Linked DNA regions of Kluyveromyces lactis. The protein of the gene in region 2 binds, or shares a complex with, the protein of the main gene of each other region. Links are inferred from orthologs where the notes say so. Each region holds a gene or a part of one and is shown on either strand. Other genes may lie near its edges.

Evidence for each region.
Region 1: the proteins of THP1 (region 2) and SUB2 are in contact, whole or in part, in a crystal structure (PDB 8U8C), measured with the Saccharomyces cerevisiae proteins. The link is inferred for Kluyveromyces lactis from reciprocal best matches to the Saccharomyces cerevisiae genes THP1 and SUB2. Residues at the interface, in NP_014569.1 of Saccharomyces cerevisiae: Lys362, Ile408, Asn409, Gly411, Arg414, Ala415, Asn416, Phe418, Leu421, Val425, Val426, Lys427, Arg442, Lys445, Met446; in NP_010199.1 of Saccharomyces cerevisiae: Leu10, Glu11, Tyr12, Ser13, Asp14, Asn15, Glu16, Ile19, Gln20.

Annotation. Positions count from the first base shown.
Region 1 is NC_006041.1:1,954,231-1,965,354, forward strand, and holds SUB2 (ATP-dependent RNA helicase SUB2), read left to right. Parts: upstream 1-5,539; coding exon 5,540-6,853; downstream 6,854-11,124. Other genes in the region: KLLA0_E21891g (uncharacterized protein), read left to right, coding at 1-1,531; KLLA0_E21913g (uncharacterized protein), read left to right, coding at 3,774-5,180; FDO1 (Fdo1p), read right to left, coding at 7,396-8,556; RPS16B (40S ribosomal protein uS9), read right to left, coding at 9,276-9,683, 10,263-10,286. UniProt on the Saccharomyces cerevisiae protein: ATP-binding RNA helicase component of the TREX complex involved in transcription elongation and required for the export of mRNA out of the nucleus. SUB2 also plays a role in pre-mRNA splicing and spliceosome assembly.
Region 2 is NC_006040.1:312,521-323,736, forward strand, and holds THP1 (Thp1p), read right to left. Parts: upstream 4,688-11,216; coding exon 3,326-4,687; downstream 1-3,325. Other genes in the region: KLLA0_D03630g (SCO family protein), read right to left, coding at 141-1,079; type 2A-related serine/threonine-protein phosphatase SIT4, read right to left, coding at 1,723-2,652; YNK1 (nucleoside diphosphate kinase), read left to right, coding at 5,334-5,792; UPF3 (Upf3p), read left to right, coding at 6,205-7,437; KLLA0_D03740g (uncharacterized protein), read left to right, coding at 7,679-8,011; KLLA0_D03751g (uncharacterized protein), read right to left, coding at 8,001-8,564; mRNA splicing protein SMD1, read left to right, coding at 9,196-9,621; U4/U6-U5 snRNP complex subunit PRP38, read right to left, coding at 9,769-10,473; MRPL25 (mitochondrial 54S ribosomal protein mL59), read right to left, coding at 10,774-11,216. UniProt on the Saccharomyces cerevisiae protein: Component of the SAC3-THP1 complex, which functions in transcription-coupled mRNA export from the nucleus to the cytoplasm.

The DNA.
Region 1 (11,124 bases), on a different chromosome or scaffold from region 2:
TATTGGCCAAAAAGCTGTTGTCCCAGTAAAGCCATCGCTAGCAAGAAGAGTGGTTTCTACCACTTTGAAAGTTTCTCTAGCGGCTTTGTTGGCTGGTACTGGTTACGTTTCCTATGAATTGTACAGGGAAGCTAATCCACCTCCTCAAATTCCTCAAGCTGCCACTTTCGCTAACGGTTCTCCAAGGAAAACCCTTGTCGTTTTGGGTACTGGTTGGGGTTCTGTGTCCTTATTGAAACATTTGGATACTTCTTTGTATAACGTTATTGTTGTTTCTCCAAGAAACTACTTCTTGTTCACTCCATTGCTACCTTCTACTCCAGTCGGCACCGTTGAGTTGAAGTCCATTGTCGAACCTGTCAGATCCATCACCAGATCTTCACCTGGTGAAGTTCATTACTATGAGGCTGAAGCCAAGGACATCGATCCTGTTGCCAAGACCGTTAGAATAAAATCTGCTACTAAAGACCATGACTACGAACTTGATTTGAACTATGATTATTTGGTCGTCGGTGTTGGTGCTCAACCAACTACCTTCGGTATCCCAGGTGTCTTCGAAAACGCCTCCTTCTTGAAGGAAATTCCGGACGCTCAAGATATTAGAACTAAAATCATGAATAACATTGAAAAGGCTGCTACTTTGTCTGCTAACGACCCTGAACGCAAGAGATTGTTGAGTTTCGTTGTTGTTGGTGGTGGTCCAACCGGTGTTGAATTTGCTGCTGAATTGCAAGATTACGTTGACCAAGATTTGTCTAAATGGATCCCTGAAATCTCCAAGGAAATTAAGGTTACTTTGGTCGAAGCTTTACCAAATATCTTGAATATGTTTGATAAGTCTCTATGGCAATACGCCCAAGACTTGTTCGCCATGGAAAAAATCGATGTCAAGTTAAAGACTATGGTTAAGAACGTCAACTCTACTACCATCACTGCCCAATGTGGTGATGCAACTGAAGATATCCCATACGGTTTGTTGGTTTGGGCTACTGGTAACGCTCCAAGAGAAGTTTCCAAGAACTTGATGGCTAAATTGGAACAACAAAATTCCAGACGTGGTTTATTGATCAATGACAAGATGCAACTATTAGGCGCTGAAGACTCCATTTGGGCCATTGGTGACTGTACTTTCTTCCCAGGTCTTTTCCCAACAGCTCAAGTGGCACATCAAGAAGCTGAATACTTGACTGAAACTTTGAAACAACAATACAAGATTGATCAATTGAAATGGGAAATCTCGAAAACTACTAATGCCACTGAAACTTCTAAATTGCACTCCAAGTTGGACAGAATTGTGAAACAACAAAAACCTTTCAAATACAACCACCAAGGTACCCTTGCTTACATTGGTTCAGAACAAGCCATTGCTGACGTTGCTGTCGGTGAATCCAAATATCAAATGGCCGGTTCTTTCACCTTCTTATTCTGGAAGTCTGCTTACCTAGGGATGTGTCTCTCCTTCAGAAACAGAATCTTGGTCGCTATGGACTGGGCTAAAGTTTACTTCCTAGGTAGAGACTCATCGGTATGAAATCTGAAGTGGTTAACGTCTGATTTCTGATCAATCACATCCTAATTTTTTCTTTTTTCTTGCTCCCATTGTCTTATCCATCTACGCTGAGGAGACAAGATTGATTACTGATCGGGTTTCAGTCATTTAACATTAATATTCATTCAATTTACATAAACATCACCCATTAATTAATTTGATAAATAAAATAAATATCCTTTCCACCGCTTTTATGCTATTTGTCACCATGCCAAGAAAATATATATGTCCTGTTGTAGCACTGTTCATTAAAAAGAAAAAATTGACGGTCCATGATGCAAAGGGTTTGCTTTAAGCTTTTTGAGTAACTTCCTTCCGATAGTAATAGATGAAATATTATAGTACCTTCTATATCATAAATTTAGGGATTTGTTTTTTTGTACTTTCGGTATTGTGTCAACATTACCGTTAAAAATATGTGCATCTTTGTGGCGAGGAATAAAAAGAAATTTAAAGTTTGACGGCAAAGAAGCGTCAGTTTCCTGAAAGAGTGATAATATGGTAAGATACTTCAGAAAGTGATAGGAAGGTGAATCAGTTACACTTTAATTTCCTCTGACAATCTAACACAAATAATATAAGATTTCCTCCTATTCAATTTACTACCTGCTCGTCTTGTTCTTTTGATCACTTTATCAGACTATTCTATTTCCTCAAAAGGCAAGGTCATTGTGAGAAGTTTACAATGCAAAAAATCTATTTGTTTTAATCAGTAAGATTGGGCAAATTTTCGGCCGTAAGCCTTTACCTGTTCATTTAATTCGCATAATATGCGGAGTCGTCTCGATTTGTCGTTGTGGCTTTTAGGTGTTTTTTCACTCACAAACATCAGACGACACAAGACATTTGAATTCTTGCTATTAAGGAATGGATTTTTTCAAATTAGCCATTATCTTGCATCAAATTAGCATCAACACAGATAACAAAGAGGACCATGGCAAAAACATGTTTACTATTAGTATTACACGCAGAGTTCTCCATCCATGAGTTTTCATTGGATCATTTATAAATGATAAAGGGAGTACATTATACCATCCTATTCTAACTCAAATTTTTGAAGAAATTGCATGATCTTCGGTTTTTGCTATTATGGAAACTTTTGCAAAGCAAACCTTATAGCAGGAACAAGTTTTTACTGTTAGCCTATCGTGTTTGTTCAGACATCTGTATTCTTTCTAAAAAAAGAACAGAAACAAAACGCAACTCTTCCTGTTCCAAAGCTGCAAGTATTAGCTGTCTAACACTTATATAAGTTTGGTTGCTAGTCTACATTCTCTTAGTTGAATGCAATCGTTTTACTCAAATTTGATTTGAGAAAATCGATCGTTCTTATGCAAGTGACGCGTGTTTTTCGTTCTGTGCATAATTATCGCGTAGTATTTTTTTTTTTTCGGAAATTTTCTCCGTTGTAAAAGTTAACTTCATACCGTTTTGAAGTAGAAACAACTCCTCTTCCGTGTCAGTGCACACACATCTGAAGGTAACCGTTTTCAACTGAAAGCATTATGTCAGCGGTTCTGTGTTCAGGTTTGCACTACAAATGTCTTTCTCATATTTGGCAATATCCAAATGCAATCCCAAGCAACCTAACACCAGAAACCTTGAAACGAATAGAAATAACTTTACAAAAACTGTAATTGATACAGGTACATTGATGTACCTGTTTTGACGGAATGACATAACTCAATTCCTGTACTAATCATGGAATTGAGCAGAAAATTGGTCACGTGATATAGTGTCCGGTGAAGGAAACCATGGTGACACCTGCGTTCCTCTCTCAGCATATCGAAATTATAGCACAAATGAACTGATGATTTTGTCGGACAAACACTTTTGACGTCTTTGTTTTCATTCACAGTAAGACACCTGTGAAAAAGTAAAGATAGTCCGTTTCGTTCTTATTCTTGAAAATAAGAACTCGTCTTACTGTGATGAGAATGAATCAGTGTGAACAATTCTCTAAAGGTAATATTTTGTTGCATATTTCCACTTTACTGTGGAGGAGATTTATTGACAAACTTGATTCCAAACTGTGCTTCATTGAACAACGCTTTTTACTCACGTCACTGCTTGTATTTTCTCTATTAAATCAGATACTCCAAGATAAAGCTAGATCTCGTTATAGGTAGTGAGCAGACGGCGCTAACGAGGACTGGAAAGTGATTCGCACGAAATAAGGTTGCAAATTGGGCAGAAGATAAGATCTACAACTTCCAGTAATATAATGGAAACTCTATTGGAAAAAGACCTACCGGAAGGTAAAGAAGAGCGAATCAGGCTGGCGTTGGATTTTATTCGGGAACAACATAGTAAAGAAGGGACTGATAATTCAGAGCATGATATTAAGCCCAAGAAGGACGTGTTGAAACCTAGTAAATATGGTAAAAAACGAAAGCCCACAATCAGACAGATTGCACTCCATTTTCAAATACCTAAGAGTACGCTATACGATAGGATGAAGGCAGATCAAGGACAAAAGAGGCAAAGAACGATAACTAAGGCAAACGCCGCTGGAGGCCAGAGTGATGAAATCTCTGATGAAAATAATGAACACGATTTACAAATGCAGTTAAGAAATCAGACAACGAGAACGTATTCTCACTTATCTCAAATGAGATTCAGCCCGGAAGCAGAATCCGACATGGTGCGAAATATGCAGGGTTATGTATTAGCTTATGGTAATCTGCCATTGATCTCAGATTTAAGAGAGTGCATACCCAGCACAACAAGGGCGGTACACTTGGGAAATAAATGGATCACTGGTTTCATAAGACGACATGGGGAAGAAACGGTATATGGTATGACGGGCGAGGGGGTATTGAACGCTAAATTTAAAGATTTTAGGCAATGGAAAAACAAGTTTAGTCAATTGCATGATTTATTCCTTCGGTGCTTGCAATCCAAATTAAAAAGATGCCATCAGTTTTACTACATCTGTAAATACGTTCCACATGGCTCAAACGAAGCCAATAAGATGATATTTTTTGCATTAAAAGTGAAGATTCAGCAGGTAAATGCTGGCACAGAGAAAGATGTGACAATATCTTTGCTATGTGAACCAATTACAAGGGAGTTAAGTCCCATCTCTCCTGAAGAAGCAAAGGAACAATTCTTACAAGATCTAAATTCCATTTTGAAACGTATAGACGCTAACTCTACGGACCTAGTCGTTTTGGAAGGGTTAACACAGACGGAACATTGGGACTGGTCACAATGTCTAGAATTAGTCAAAACGCACAAGCTAAACGGTAAATTGTATACGGTTCCCTGGGGAAATGACCTACTCACGAATTGTTTAAACAAGGATAATAATATTGCGGTCACTTTTGAGAAAATCACACAAGATTCGAATTCAGCGGTGGCTACCAAAGATATGGTTAACTTTACCTCTGTGTCTGTCATGCTTAAGGAAATAATCACCAACGCAACGCCGTTACCAGCCGTTGCCATCAATAATTCGCGCACTCAAAGGGACGCTATACGGCAATTAATTCGAACTATATCTGAGAATGAGTCGCGGTTGTATAGAGAAATACATGATCCTGATGCCCGTGTCACTCTTTGCAACATTTTCAATCAAGCGCGCTTACTTGAAGAGTCATTATCTACTTGCGCTGTTGAACTCACGTGACTTGTTATTGTCATTTCTGCATTTAATTGGGTTCTAGATTACCCGCATTATTTCACGTGATCAACCAATGTCACTTCTCAGTGGCAAAATTGACTGCTTACATGTAGTACGTGGTATCACTCCTGACGACAGTGAAATATATCTGTTTTAACGACGAAATGAGAACGTAAGAAAAAAACAGCGAAAGGTAAGAGAATTTCAAAACAATAATTTGGCATAGATTATGAAGAAAAGGTGCGTGTTGTGCTCTGACGGTTGTTAATTGAATTAAGGATTTATACGTGTTTAATCTAAGGATAGAACTTGTTGAGAAGCAACTTGGTATTGTCAACCACAAGGAAGAAGACCCAACCGAAACAATGTCTCACGAAGCAGAAGAGGATTTATTGGAGTATTCCGATAACGAACAAGAAGTTCAAGTTGACAACAAGGCCACTGAAGTGAATGCCGAGGGTAACGGTGAGAGCCAAGCAAAGGATTCTGATAAGAAAGGTTCTTATGTTGGTATTCACTCCACTGGTTTCAAGGATTTCTTGTTGAAGCCAGAATTGTCCAGAGCTATCATTGACTGTGGTTTTGAACATCCTTCTGAAGTGCAACAACATACCATTCCTCAATCCATTCATGGTACTGACGTCTTATGTCAAGCTAAGTCTGGTCTAGGTAAGACTGCTGTGTTCGTGTTGTCTACTTTGCAACAATTGGATCCAGTTCAAGGTGAAGTCAGTGTCGTCGTGCTATGTAACGCGAGAGAATTGGCTTACCAAATTAGAAACGAATACTTGAGATTCTCCAAATACATGCCAGACGTTAAGACTGCTGTATTTTACGGTGGTACTGAATATAAGAACGATATTGATTTGCTATCCAAGAAGGAAACCGTCCCTCATATCATTGTAGCCACTCCTGGTCGTTTAAAGGCTTTGGTTAGAGACAAGCATATCGATCTATCTCACGTCAAGAACTTTGTCATTGATGAATGTGACAAGGTCTTGGAAGAATTGGATATGAGAAGAGATGTTCAAGATATTTTTAGAGCCACCCCAAGAGATAAGCAAGTTATGATGTTTTCCGCAACTCTATCCCAAGAAATCAGACCAATCTGTAGAAGATTCCTTCAAAATCCATTAGAAATCTTTGTCGATGACGAAGCCAAGTTGACTCTACACGGTTTGCAACAATACTATATCAAATTGAATGAAAAGGAAAAGAACCGTAAGTTGGCTCAATTGTTGGACGATTTGGAATTCAACCAAGTTATCATTTTCGTCAAGTCTACTGTCAGAGCTAACGAATTGACCAAACTATTGAATGCTTCTAACTTCCCAGCCATCACTGTGCATGGTCACATGAAACAAGAAGAACGTATTGCTCGTTACAAGGCTTTCAAGGAATTCGAAAAACGTATTTGTGTTTCCACTGATGTTTTCGGTAGAGGTATTGATATCGAACGTATTAACTTGGCCATTAATTATGATATGCCAAACGAAGCAGACCAATACTTGCATCGTGTTGGTAGAGCTGGTAGATTCGGTACCAAGGGTTTGGCTATCTCCATGATATCTAGTGAAGATGACGAACAAGTCTTGGCCAAGATCCAAGAAAGATTTGATGTTAAGATCACTGAGTTCCCAGAAGAAGGTGTTGATCCATCTACTTATTTGAACACTTAGATATTTCATCATAGCGTTTTACTTCAGAATTTTTTACCAAAACTAGAAAATTGCAAAAACAAGCTGGAATGTGTATTATCAAATAAAATGTGGTTTTTATACAGTTTAAAACGAATTTCCAATAGTCCCATTATAACTAAGTAACATAATTGGAGTATAAGTGTATAAAATCAATTCAATTCTCATGAAAAAAAGCTTCATTGTATGTCGGGTTTAGGTATTAGTGTTTCCTCATATGCCCTTGCAGATAATTAAAGCGGAGACGTCTGTCATGAATATAATATAAACTGGATTTATGTGATGTACATAAGGTCTATCAAGCCGCTTGTCAGCTTTTACAGGTGAGAAAAGTAAACATATGGGCCTTTCTGGACAAGCAGGTTACGCTTTCTGTAGTCGAACCGTGTCATTGGCGTGGTTCGGCAGAAACGACGTCTGTTTCTTTTATTTTTATGTGTTATTATTGTCATTTGGTCTTCCTGCAGACGAAAATAAGAAATAGAATAATAACTCTGGGGTAAAAACAAATAAAGAGTATGTTCTTACAAGACATCCTTTACAGTCCCATCTGCTGTATTAAAACTCCGTAATTTTGGTAGTGCCGCACCTTTCGGAAGCGATGGCCTATTGAGATGCAATATAGGCAGTTCAGGACGCTCTATTTTCTGATTTGAACTGCTGTTGATCCTAATCAAATGTGAATCAGGTGTCACCTCTGATACCGTACTCAGACTTGGTAAATGCTGCGCTGCTGGAACTGATGCGGCTGGAGTCACCATGTTTGCTGTTGAGGGACTAAGTCCATTATTAAACTGCTGGCTATGATTCACAAGCTGAGTACTATCATGAGAGATGTCAGATTCGGTATTATCAAGATTCTCTGGCTTGTCTTCAATTGGAGAATGTTGGAGTGTCGACCCATGAATGCTTCCATTTTCCGGATTTTGTTCCTCTTTAAGAACCTTTGTAGCAAGTATTCCTAATGTGTTTAACATGTTGGAATCCGACGAGTGTAACTGTCTTGAAATAAATGGCTTCCTGACCGATGCAGATGGCACGGAAGTTGGTCTAGAGAGGCGAGGATTATAGACTTGGCTTTGGTTCAATAATCTGGAAAGTCTGTTGATTTCTTTGTTTTTCGACATGATCGTTTCTCTGTATTTTGTGATCTTGACCGAAGTACCCTCTAACTGTCTCTGTAGGTCTGTCTTTTGTACCATCAAATTGTATTTCATACTTTCAAATTGTTGCTTGGCGAGATTTTGTTCCACTTGGAACCCGCTCTGAAGTTCGTTGAGATTTTGTACTAGAAACATATTCTTCAACGTCAATTGTTTGGCCCGTTCTTGTGATTTGGTTAACGCTGTCATTAAATGCCGTAATGAGGTAATAATGTCATTGTTTACATCTTTGTCTTTCTCATCTGCGGTACCATTTTTCGTATCATCAGAACCCGTATCCCCTTTGTGATTCGAAGCAGGTATCTCCGCTGTAGATTGTAACGCATTTAAGGTATTCAAGGTTCTCTGAGCATTTTCTATAGCTAAACTTACTTGGTCGTTCAATGAATCCTCCTGCGTCGATATTGACGAAGTATTCGAAATGGTCGAACTCTTTCTCTCCAAATCGTTAGGCGTAAATATCACGGACGGTGAATGAACATTATTTACCTCTCCCTCAGTCTTTAATTGAGTTTCTGTCATCCCAAATGAAGTGCTAGTCGCAAATATTGCTATGCTCTCAACCTTTATGTCCCGATATCAATCTTGAATTACTGTTATTATCGATTTTTCAGCAAGCAGGCCTGCCTTTGGGAACTTGTATGTTTGGTATGTATACACTCGCTGCTGTAATTAATACTCGACTGAGGTTGGACTTGGTTTGATAGCGCGCTACACCGTATTTCCTTTTATTCCCTGATGGTATTTTAAATCTTTATCATTTTAGGATTGTGCACTTTGACGCGAAACGACGCGTATTATGAAATTTCAAGAATCACGTTCGGGAAAAAGTACTTCGGGTTTGATCAATTGTGAAGCGGGCGAAGTCCAAACAGAGTCATGCGCAATGAAACTGTATCTGCCCAAATGGTCGCACATACGGTCAAGATCCTGCAGCTCAACAGGAACGTTTCTTGTTCGTGGAGAATGCGCCAAATATGTAGAAATTATTGGCGCATAACACTCTTTCATTGTAATTAGCTAGTTAGTAGATGGGAAGTGGGGCATTGGCACCTAATAACTGTAACGTGTCAGTATGTCTGCTCAATGACTGGAAATGAATGAACTGCAAACGAACGAGTAAGGTGAAATATTAACGTTCTACCCGTGATATTAGGCTATACAGTATGTAGATGTAGTATATATGTTGATAATATAAGATACAATAGAAAATTGATATGATGATTTCCATAGGATCCTGATTAACGGTAAGATTTTTGGAATCTAGATCTAGCACCTCTACCACCGAATTTCTTTGGTTCTGGTCTTCTAGAATCAGCGATCAACAAGGTTCTGTCGTAAGAAGTGAAAGCCTTCTTCAATTCGTTCTTGGATTGTTCATCGACGAACTTTTGGTGGTAAGCAACCAAACCCTTAGCGATAGCTTGTCTGATAGCATAGACTTGAGAGACGTGACCACCACCGGTAACCTTAACTCTGATGTCGATGTTGGCGAACTTGTCCAAACCAACCAATAACAATGGTTCGTAAACCTTGAATCTCAAGATTTCTGGTTGCACCAAGGTGATTGGAGAACCGTTAACCTTGATCAAACCCTTACCGGCCTTAACGTGGGCAACGGCAGTAGCAGACTTCTTCTTACCAAAAGTCTATAGGAAAAATAATGAGGTAATAGTTTCAAAACTGTTAGTAAAATACGTTTTTCCAATGACATTGGAACTGGGAAAGCCCTTGACTAAAAACATAGGTGATGCCAGAAAGGTGGGTATTTGAACCGTTTCATACACGTCGATAACATCTTTGGAGGTCATTTGCTTCTTAGTTATAAATAGCCTGAATATCCTTACTGGTGTTACTGGTGGTGAAATGATTCTGTCAGAGTGGTTTTGGATAGCCCACATTATACAAATGGTATATTACGGTGATTCCCCTTAATCAAATCTTGTCTGGTATCTTTTTACCACATCCTGTTTCCTTCGGTGATTCTCATTATATGGTAGGTTCAATCCACATTTAATTTGTTCATGCTATCACGAGCAAATCGGTCATTGCTTAGCGATAGAACTTGAAACACACACGCTCTTGTTGCTACAATTCATATTACATTCAGAAAGTACTAGTAACCATTATTTTTTTCACTCTCATGTTACATTATCATGTTTTCTTCAATTCGGGATTCTCAGTTCGTTCCGCGCTCGTTCGCTTGTTCATTCGTTGTTTTAACATACTTGGACACTTGGGACAGTAGACATCTTCGACTTTGCTTGCTTTTGTCTGAACTAAATATCCTAATAACAACCTAATCAACAGTAAATCAAGACTATACACATGAAATACACTTGTTAACTACCTTGTACCATACAAATTGTAATCTCTAATTCTTTTTCCATGATAATTTTCAAATTCTAACAAACTTCCAAGGGTAGAAACCTCTCAGCCAGAGAGAGGTGGGAACCACGGTCGCCTCAGAGTACACCAGAGGCTCACCACTATGCTGAGACGGTGTGTTTGGGTTGTGTCCGAGGACCTTGTGAAACTGGCGGCGCCCATGGTACGAAGGTTACTACGGATGGTTACCTGTGGTGGAAGAGGAATTGCCTAGGAACAGTCCATCCCCACCTAGAGATAGAGTTTCCAGGCTGGAATTGCGAACTGGATTCCTGCCTAGAGTGGCGGAGCCACCAGCCTGTTGCCAGCAATGGAATTCGGAAAGAGAGAAATGAACCGAGCTCGTCGTAGACCCCGTTTCGTTCGAATAAGAGTGTCAGTCTTTCCTTATGAGGGAATTTGTATTTATAACAGTACTGATAGCAACACTGTTCACCACATGTCTGGGTGTTACATTCATGAGACAGTCCCGATATTAACCGAGACTGTTGCATCTGTGCACCACGGTCTATTTATGTTCAACTTTTATATCTACTTCCTAAACAGGAAATATCTGATCCTCATCCAACAAAAGGAAAAGAGTTTCGCATCGAGGAGTCTATTGTCACGGGCGTATCCTCCCTAGTCCCAGGCAGAAACGCTTCCCGCCACATTGTCCGCTCTTCTCCCTTCTCCCCACCACTCGACACCTTCTTGCCTAGG
Region 2 (11,216 bases):
TGGCTAACGTAACGTCCGTAATTCAAGAATGAAAATACCCTACTGAAAACGTATATTTGATGTGTTAATGTTAAATACTGAGCTTACATGAAGTTGCGAAACACGCTTTATTTATTTACAAGAAAGCAAGATAAATGTGTTTAAAACAAGAAGGAATACCATTTGTCCTTTCTCTTTTCACGTTCTTCCTTTGGAACATAAGCAGATACATGTTCGACGATTTTTTCAACACCAGTCTGTTCGTCATAGTTTCTACCTAGGGCATCAATGAATTGACCTTCTGGGTCCATCAAGTAGAAGAAAATGGAATGATCAACTAAATAATCCTGGCCAGGTTTGACGTTTGGTGGAGTAGAGAAATAGACTCTGTATTTTTTGCAAGCATTCTTCACGGCATCATAGTCACCAGTTAAACCGATAATGTCAGGGTGGAACTCGCTTAGGTATTCTTTCAAGACTTCTGGTGGATCTCTAGCCGGGTCACAAGTAATGAAAACAGGTTGCAAATTGATGTCACGCTTCTTTAACTCAGTTAACCATGCTCCTAACTTATCTAACTCATCTGGACAAATATCTGGACAATGACTGAAACCAAAATAGATGATAGAGAACTTGCCTAGCAAGTCTTTCTCTGTAAATGGATTCCCATTAAAATCAATCAAACTAAAGGGACCTCCGACCAATGGCCTACCGTAACCTCTGTTAGCTTCCGCCTCCTTCTCGGTCTCTAATCTTTGCTTCTCATTTTTAAAGAAATAGTACACCCCGCCTCCGATAAGAATGAACAAAGCTGCTGCTTTCCAGGTAGTAAATTCGATGGTAGAACCTGTATCAACTTTTTGGGTATGAGTTTCAGCACCGCCAATGGGTATCCTACTTAATGGCTTCTTCTTAGGTTTTGGACTACCTACTGCAGGGGCAGGGTCATATTTCTTAATCTCTTGTAACTTGGTTGCAGATACGGATAACGATCTGTAATGATTCATAAAATGGGCCAAGGTAGTTTTCCTTAGCACTGGTCTCATTGCTTCTTTAGAAGCAAAAGTAATACTAGGGACGCGAACAATGCTGCGTAACATTACAATTTATAGTTGATACTGTATTAGCAATCCTTGTTATTGTTAAACCGTTTATTCCCGATGTGAGTAACCAAAATGCTGCGTTTTGTTGGTATCACATCATTTATGAAAGTTATAAGTGCAATCATATGGCTACATTTTTTGTATAAAATGCTCTTGAAATTTTAAATATTTCAATGCAGCTTTGGAGCTGAAGAGATACTGGTAAGAAAAAAAAAAACCTATTCTACACACGATATTCTATATATGATTCCATATCAAATTGAATATATTCGATGATCTAGTTTGGATTAGATCAGGACTCTGTGAAGCCTCGTGAAAGACATAATGGCAGTTTAAACGTTATCATTAATACATATATCTATATATATTACCGGGTTTTAGACTATTTAAGTTTCAGGGGGGTTGGTTTCTCAGTAATGATTTCAACCCATTAAAAATTACGTTGTTTATAGTCCACTTTCCAATTAAATCCTAATTCCTGATGGATATCTTTGAATTCGTAAAAGTTAGGTAAATGTTTGATTTCTAGTGTACAGTATATTAAGAAGGAATTCTCAAATAGAAGGAGAAAAAGAATGTTTAGTCCGATGTAAGTTCGCATAGAAGATTATACAGACAAAAAGGCCGCTGCAATGTCGCTCTATAAGAAATATCCACCTCTTTGGTTATTATTGTTTGTTTCTTGGATGTAATCGTCAGGTACAGCGGAAAAAATTTTGAATGTTGGATCTAAATCATCTTCGACTTTCATGACACTCGCCACATTACCACATCGATAACAATAATTAGGTGCAGACCATACCGTTACAACATCCTTCTCCGGAAAATGGTATTTGAATCCTTCCATAACTAGCTGGTGAGCTCTTGCGATTAGGCTTAGGCCATTCACATGATTAAATTCTCGTGAGACTTTGCTACCGAACAACCATCCGGCACCACGAGGTGAGACTTGCCATGCTTCCACGTTGTCGGGGTCACTCCATAACAAATCGGAGAAGCCACCTTCATGAGGAACTTCTTGGGCTCTCGATAGAACTCTGATCTGATCAAGCATTCTAATCTCGGGAGACAAACCACCATGCACACATAAAATTTTCCCGTCAATAATAGCTGCCAAAGTTAAGAAATCAAACACTTGACAACAATACTTCCAAACCGTTGTGGAACCATACTTATTTAAACATTCCTCATAAAACCCATAAACTTGTGTAATTTGCCTCGACTCATGATTTCCTCTAACCAAAGTAATTCTGGAAGGATATTTCACTTTCAAACACATAAGAAGTGTGAACGTCTCCAAACTGTAATAACCACGATCTACATAGTCACCAAGAAAAATATAGTTTACTTGATCAGGAAACCCACCAGCAGTTCTGAATAGTTCTAAAAGGTCATGAAATTGTCCGTGAATATCACCACAAACAGTCACCGGCGATTGAACCGGCTGAATATTCGATTCTTCCATTAAGAGTTCCTTCATCATCTCGCATAGCTGTTTCATCTCAGACTCCGTCAAAGCCTGACATTTCTTGATCTTCTCAAGCCACAAATCTGGCCCATTATCTGACATTGTGATATTTTAGCACTCCGGAGACAAAACGCTCTATAGATAGATGAACTTATGCAATGGCAAATTAACCTTTACAAGGGAAGATAAAGTTCAAAGGTCAATAAAAAAAATAATAATTATAATAAAACCCAGTCCTTACCTGTGAAAAAATTGGGATAAATTCCTTCTGAATTTCTTGTAAAGTGATTATGATTAGCGTTCTTGTAAATAAAAACCACAACAAGCTTAAAACCTGTGTTTGGAAGTATTTCTTGCACCTTTTCTTTTCAACAAGAAACACTCACTCACTATAGGAAAATTCAATAGCTCAAACAAAGAACAGCCCTATATCACTACTCTTTGTTGATGGCTAAAAGCTTGTTAACAAAGTAGTTAGCTATAAGGATGTTTCCTTCTCTCTTTGTTTTCTGTTGTAATCATCAGTCCTTTTACAAAAATAATGGAAACTTCAACAAAATTTCAACTTCTCTTCAATTTCTTACTTTTTTTTGCAGAATGTGACCTGGAAGACAAACAGATATATGTGAGAGCATTCTTATATCTATATAGACATGTCTGTAAAAATTGAGTCTTCCAAAAGTGTTTCACGACTGGGTATGATAGTGGGACCCGAATCAGGTTAGGAGGGGCTGTGTCATCTATTTTTACATACTATATGTATATTATCTATCATTTACTTATCGAGCCAGGAATCTTCCTGGTTCAACGAAAATCTAGAGACGATCTTTTCATTGATATTAGGGAAGATTACTGAGATATCGTTAGTCTTCATCGTAACGCACACTTGCAGGCTTGGAAACACATTTCCCTTCCACAATTGTTGAATTGAAAGTGTGACAAGGATATTTTCAAGTGATTCTGCGGTGTAATTGTCTTTATATATCGATGGCATTTCAGGTGGATATAAACCGATGGATTTTGCTAGAATTGGTCTTATCACAGAGTATGGTAGTTTATTTGAATTGCGCGGTATACAGTAGTATAGGAAAATAGATCGCAAAAGGGATCTGAACGTTATAATGGGTAGCTTTTCCAATAGAACAATCAACAATTTAGATGATTTCAGCCACGATTCGTTCTCGTAAAGCCAGAAGTTTACTCTGTTCAAGTTTCCGTTTTTAACGGCAATCACAAGAGCTGTGTATTTCTGTGCTAGGATAGGGTCCCATTGAGATAACTTGTTGAAATCTGGCAACTTGCTGATAATGATACCACATGGAACTAAAAACTTCAACAATCTTCTCCTGTTGTTCTGTTTCGCAATAGAGTCGGGTAATGTGGCTAGGAGTTCGTAACATTGGTTCAACTGATGGAAAGCATTAACCATTCTATGGTTTAATAGGTAATATCTCCCCAAGTAATACCTATACTGGATTCTCTCTGTCAACGGGTATTGGTTGAACGAATAGATATTAGACTTTGGTTTCAAATTCTTGAAGATGTTAGCGCACGAAGATGGGGAGTTAATCTTGAAATAAATCATGTTCAATTTGTTTGAAATATAAAGCAAGACCTTCTGTTTCCCTGACAAATGATCAAATTCGACCTTATCATCATCGACCCTGGCTTTAATGCTATTGAACAATTTGGAAATGATGGAAGCAATATGGGTCAGAAACTGATGCTGTCTTGTACCAATGATCTTATGGTTAGCATCCAATCTAATAGCCATTGGAATGACCAATTCTGTTGTAGCTGTAAACAGTGGTACCAAAGAATCAATAGGGTACATTGTTGTCTCGTTTGTGAGACATGTATTCAAATCCTGGTAATATTGGAACACAGAGAAGGACGATTCCCATAATGAATATGGATTCAGTTCTTTACAGTACCCAAGAAATGAACTTACCAAATTATTAAACCTGGTCCATCTGTTCTCATAAAGAGAATGTGAATTTATCAGGGTCTCAAGGTCAATGCTGTCATTGGATCTCAAAAACTGTTGCAATTCAAGAATTAATTGTCCATTTCTTTCGATGTTTATATCCAATACACTAAAATCACCTGCCTTTAGAGCCCCAAAGAAATGGTCCATAACCAAAAACCACAAAGGAAAATCCACTGGCGCTTTTCAATTCAAAGTTTGTCCTATAAAGGTGATCTGAGTCAAATGTCAACCAGAAGTTTTTCTGATTTGTCTGATTCTAACCTTAATATTAGATGAGCCAGGTACAATGTTTCAAGAGACCATGATTTCCGTTTGTTGATTTTTCTTGTCACGTGATCGATAAAGTCACTTGAAGACTTGCCTCGACATATATCCATAAACACTCTTTGGGGTTTACATACAGTGTTTCGCCTAATCCCAACCTCCGAATGCGCTTGCTAACGATATGGACACCTTTCTGCTATTGTGTATGATGAACCATACTTTTACAGCTTCCTCAGTAAGAAGCCCCAAACATCAACTAATCAAAGTCACGTGCCGGAAAAATTTTCTCTCATTTTCGATTTTCCCCGGCATTTCTTCGTCTGCACCAATCTCATCGAGCATGAATCGGATCCTCATTCGTTGGCTCTCTCGAGAAATATTTCAATTTCGTTGATTTCAATTTGCAGTAACTTTCTTCTTTCCATGCACTTTATTTCAACTTCTGGGGTTAGCGATTGCTTATGTTCCATTGATTCTTAGTTCATAGCAGGATCGTACACAGAATCACGTATTAACTAACTCGAGAAAAATGTCTAACACTGAAAGAACTTTCATTGCTATCAAGCCAGATGGTGTTCAAAGAGGTTTGATCTCTAAGATCTTAGCTCGTTTTGAAGACAGAGGTTACAAATTGGTTGGTATTAAGTTGGTTACTCCAACCGAAGCTTTGTTGAAGGAGCACTACGCTGACTTGGTTTCCAAGCCATTCTTCCCATCTCTATTGTCTTACATGACTTCTGGTCCAGTTTTAGCTACTGTCTGGGAAGGTAAGGATGTTGTTAAGCAAGGTCGTGCTATCTTGGGTGCTACCAACCCATTGCAATCTGCTCCAGGTACCATCAGAGGTGACTTTGCCATTGAAGTTGGTAGAAATGTCTGTCACGGTTCTGACTCTGTTGAATCTGCTGAAAAGGAAATCGGCTTGTGGTTCAAGAAGGAAGAACTTATTGACTACAAGTTGAACCAATTGTCTTGGATCTACGAATAAATGTAACGTTGACAAATTGTTCACTTTATCAATACATATTCTTTCCCACAATTATTCCATATTTAAAGATGTCTTTTCTTATATGATGTGTATCTGTGTGTCGGTATTTATTACTATGTAGATATATCTCAAATACACACATTTTGAAATCCATTAAGCTTTATACTGCGATGTTGTATTCATATTTGTAACCCCGACTTGCGTTGGGTATATTCACGTTTCTACCAGCTTACTGATACGATTACGGTTCAATTTGCATTTATGTTTGTCATAGTATTATTTTACTTAATTGCACTAAAAAATTTCAGTTAGCACATCTGTTCTTCATCACAAATGCATCCCTAACGAAAACATGAGCTGTTATCACAATACCTCAGACAAGATCCTTCAGTAAAACTGCGTTCTTTCACGAATGCTCTCTAAGAAAAGAAATAGAAGGAGGTACCGGAAGAGGAGTGCTGACTCTTCCCGTGAATTCAAATTATGTATTCGATCTTTACCACCAAATTTAACAGAAGAGCAATTCATCAGCACTTTACAAGAGAACAACATCGATGTGCATTCATTTCAAAAATCATTCTACTACGTGCAAGGTCATTACTCCAGCAAGGTGTTCAAGAAACAGACTTTGTCTAGGGCATATATCCAATTGGACTCCTTCGAAACCATTCAATCGTTGTCAAAAACAATAAGAACATGCAGATTCATAGATGATTTGGATAACTCGATGATTCCAGATTTACAAATCTCGCCGTTCGTTAAGAAGTGGGTCAGTCCCAACGAGGTTAATCCTATTCAAGGCACGATTCAAAAGGACCATGTCTTTCAAACCTTTGTCAAATCATGGAAATTGATTAATGAAGATGAAACCAACTCATTACAGTTCAAGAATTTAAGTGTTATTGCACCTTTAAGAAAGGAATTAGAACGTGAAGAAAAAATGGAAGAAGAGTTAAACGGACGTAAGCAAAGAGCACTAATAGAATTGGCTGGTGATCCAACAAGCGAAGAAAAGAAGAAGAGGATCAAAAAGATTAAGAAAAAGTTAAGACTATTAGAGAAGAAGAGGAAGCTGAAACGTGCTAAGGCAAAGAACAAGGATAATCCGGACGAGAAAGATGTTTCTAAGGATAAATCAGAAGTTGAGAAGCCCAAAAAGTCTAAATCCAAACACAAATCCAAATCCAAATCTAAACCTAAATCGAAATCTGAACCGAAATCATCGAAATTTGACACTGCGACAACTGAGAAGAGTGCGGTAACATCCGAAGAAAAGCCAAAGAAGAAGATTTTGTTGAAACCAAAGAAAGATGATGTTCCCAAACCAGAGATGCCTGCAGATTCGGAGGTAACGAAGAGAGCAAGACGTAAAAAATCAAAGAAACATAAAGACAAAGACAAGGATGTAAAGAAGGATTTAACAAGCAAAGAAACAAAGGAAACTCCCTCTAAAGTTACTCCTAAGGTAAAAATAAAGTCTAAATCTGCCAATGTGGAGGAAATGAAATCGGAGAAGCGTAAGCAGGAAAACACTAAGCCAGAAAAAAATCCATCAAGTGAATCAGATAAGAAAGCTAAATCAAAGAGAAAAAGTAGAAAAGGAAGGCAGTCTGATGGACCTAAACACAAAGACAAACCAACTTAATATGCAGACATCGCACCAATGGATGGCATCTCGATATTTTGGCTTAGTTCTCTTTTACGTGCCCTTTCATTTATTCAAATGTGCAGAATATTATTTCTGATCTCTGACACTTGATATTTAAAGGGAGTGTGACAGGACTTTTTAATATTAGCAGCTTTGTGGACTAACAACAAATTCATTTTGCAAACTCAACTAAGGATTATTACACACGCATATCACTCGCCATAATTTTCATCGATCGATGGTGAATATTAGAACTACAGAATTAGAAGGAGATTTAGCACAGTTGACCTATGAACTTGGGTTGAAGGATAAGGAAGTCATGACTTTAAAGCAAAGTCTGGAACGCCTCAATGCTGAAGTCGAGAAGCTAAGAAACGAGAACAGAGGCTTGAAAAGCGAATTGGAACATTGGAATAAACTACCGATGAGTCCAATATCTTTGTCTTCAGAAAACGATCAAACTGAGGACGATAAAAACCGAATGATTCAAGAGAATTTGCGGAGAGAGATTCTTTCCTTGAAGAATGAAAGTAATATTTTATCAGAATGGATCAAGACCCTTATTTCTTGAATTTCTTCAAATAAATATTCTGAGCCGTACCCAGAATTGCGTATGCCAAACTAAAAAATACGGACCATTTATCTGGTGAAATGTATCTTTGAGCAATTGACATCAATACCGTTGATGTTGCCAAGCTGGAAGACAACATTGCCGCATATCTTGTCTTGATTGCGTGTATAATTTTTGTTTTGTCAACCTTACCGTTGTTAACAGAAGTCAAGGTAAATAGTAACCCTAACACTTGAATAGGCGATACCATGCCTAATGAGCAGCCTAACTGGACCAAGCTTCTATATTTGGATACCACTTTCCTAATTGTGTATTCGTTTATCCATTTGTAACTGAAATGATTAACTGGTGCGTTAAATAGACCACCATATAGACTCATCAATGCCACTTTGATCCAATTTAGCTTCTCTTTTCTTTCCTCTGGAGACAGACTAACCCATTGACTGAACAGTTCGCTTAACCCAGTTAATACCGCGCCTGTTATGCATTTAGTTAATAACGGGTTACGTTTGAGTAAAATATTATATCTCTTCAAGATTACTGATGACGACATGTTTACTCTTGGCGTTAATCTTTAATACTCCCAATCTCTCGATGCGAGCAGCAGTAACCTTGAAAGCTTGCGATCCATGAGATATGAAAAGAGTAATATCTGACTTTAACATCTATATATATATATATATATATATATCCAGATTTTATCAAAGCAATGACTGACAGAACGTTTTGTTATCGCTTGCATGGATAGTTTCTTATCGCACTTCTCCGTGTATCTGTTAACCATTTAACATGAGATGCAACGGATCTAAATACTTTTTGGGTTCCATGTAAGATTCGAACACATGCTCGCTCGAATGTAAGAAACCATTGGAATCTCACGCAAATGAGTTACCCTGTTAAGGCACGTGATAATATGAAATTTCCACTCTTTTCCAGGAAAGAACGACCCCATTGATTCTTGAGTATCAATTTGAACCATTTCATCCATCATTATGTAGAATATGTCAATTGAGTAACTACGATCAAATCCTGATCTTTTATCAAAATCAGGAAGTTGCTTGTGGATCATCTGTTACTTTTGCAAAATTCAAAACTCTTTTTCATCAAAACCATTTGAAACTGGTAACAGCTTTCTGGTGTATCTTTAGTCCGATTGAAACAACGAAGTTTTATATACAGACAAAATGCAGTTAACAGGGTTCTTAAAGAAACTAAAGAATGAAAGGGTGTCTATAGAGTTGAAGAATGGTACCACTGTTTGGGGAATAGTGAGGAGTGTGTCACCGCAGATGAACGTCTCTCTTACTGACGTCAGGCTGACACTCCCTACTAAGACCTCAGAAGCTACCTTGGCTGCCGTCTTATTGTCAGGTGGATCGACACAAGGACAAGAATCTAAGAGAACAACTAGCCTCGAGTTCATCAACATTAGGGGTAATACGATAAGGCAGATTATTTTACCAGATAGTATCAATTTGGATGCGTTGCTTGTAGACCAACAGGAAGTCAACAGGTTGAGGAAACAAGGTAAAGTGGGAAGTGATCCGAATAAGAAGAGATCACTTGAGAGTAACGGGAATGCTCCTAAACGTCCAAAGAGGGCATTTTAATATACATCAGAAAACATATGTGGAAATAAATATGTAGTGATGTTATGGACTTTGTTTTGATGAATGATTAAACACTATTGATAATTATCTTTCATAATGAATAGCCGTTCTTTCCAGTCGATGCCTCCAAAAAAAGAAAGAATGGAATCAAATTTGATCACTGTCATCTCTTGGATCAGAGCTGGAGTCCGAGTCGCTTGAGCTCTCATCGTCCTCTTCATCGTCCCATATTTTACACCAATTGCATTTTCCTAAGGGGATGCCCCAAATTTCATTCCTGTCGCATAACCAGTCTATCAACTCATCGAAATGTATCAATTTAATCTCTTTTTTAATCGATGATGACCAACAATCCATATCTAACGAGTAACTTTTTAATTTTCTATGATCAAGTATATATTTCTTCATTAAATCATGTAATAAATTGAACGATATATCTTGCTCGGAAGGATTACTCTCAGTTAAGAAATAATACGAGATTCTCATATAACATAATACCAGTGCTGCAATATACTTGTTGTTTAAGGGTTCATGCGGTTCTAGTAATACTTTTAGTTGTTCCCACGGAGGTCGCAGGTTGATCAATTTCATCAATAGACATTTGAACTCTATACCACCTAAGACAGTCACATGCGGGGTTTTCCGCTCATCCATAGTCCCGAAATCTCTCACAATAACAGGTATAAGTTCGACAATGGTATCTCCCCTCAAACTTGCGGGCGTTAAATTAAATTTATAATACATGCATGACGATACCTTATTTCTAAATATTTGAGGAACTACCAAAGACGCTGATTGGTGATTCAATTGCTTTCCAGACAAGTTCTCCTCCACGTAGAATTCGTTAGGCATTGTGTGTGTTATGAATAATACTAAACTGTGTCGAAGACAGTAGCAGCTGAGCTCTTTTGTTCTTTATATTTGATATCTGCCCTCTATCAAATTGGTTTCTCATTCATAATGATTTATAGTTCTTGGTGATATATATAATATTTATATATATTTGCAGAGCAATTTGATCTAGATAAGCAATATACATGCATGGTGACTAAATATTTACAGGTGAAAAGAACAACCCATGTTGGTCTTAGGTGTGTTTAGGATATGCGTGATGGGGCCAGAGGTAAGGGGGGAGTGAACCTATCAGCACCATTAGAACCAACTTCTGGTATTTTGGTTTTGTTTCTTTTCTAATCTTCTTTTGTACTTGGAACCCTTTGCTTCGAGAATGTATTTATCGGCATTCTTAATAGCCTCCTCCATCTTGGCTACTTTTCCTTCTAGTAGACGTTCGTGCTTGTGACCTTTCGGCATCAATACACCCTTCATAAACTTCTTGTTTTCATATTTCTCTTCAAAGAATAATTTCTTCGATGGTGGTAACAGATCTTGAATCCCATAACTGTACGCCAGCTTGTATAGATCACTCATCCTTCTCAAAGAGTACTTAGGTTCATGGTATTTTCCCGTTGCAGGATTCTTATTTGGAAGAAATGGATTGGCATCCATGGCTGTAATCAACGTTGGCTTATCACTATACTTAACATTTGGTGGATATTTCTTGAAAAAATTCTTCAACTGAACAGGTAGCAGTT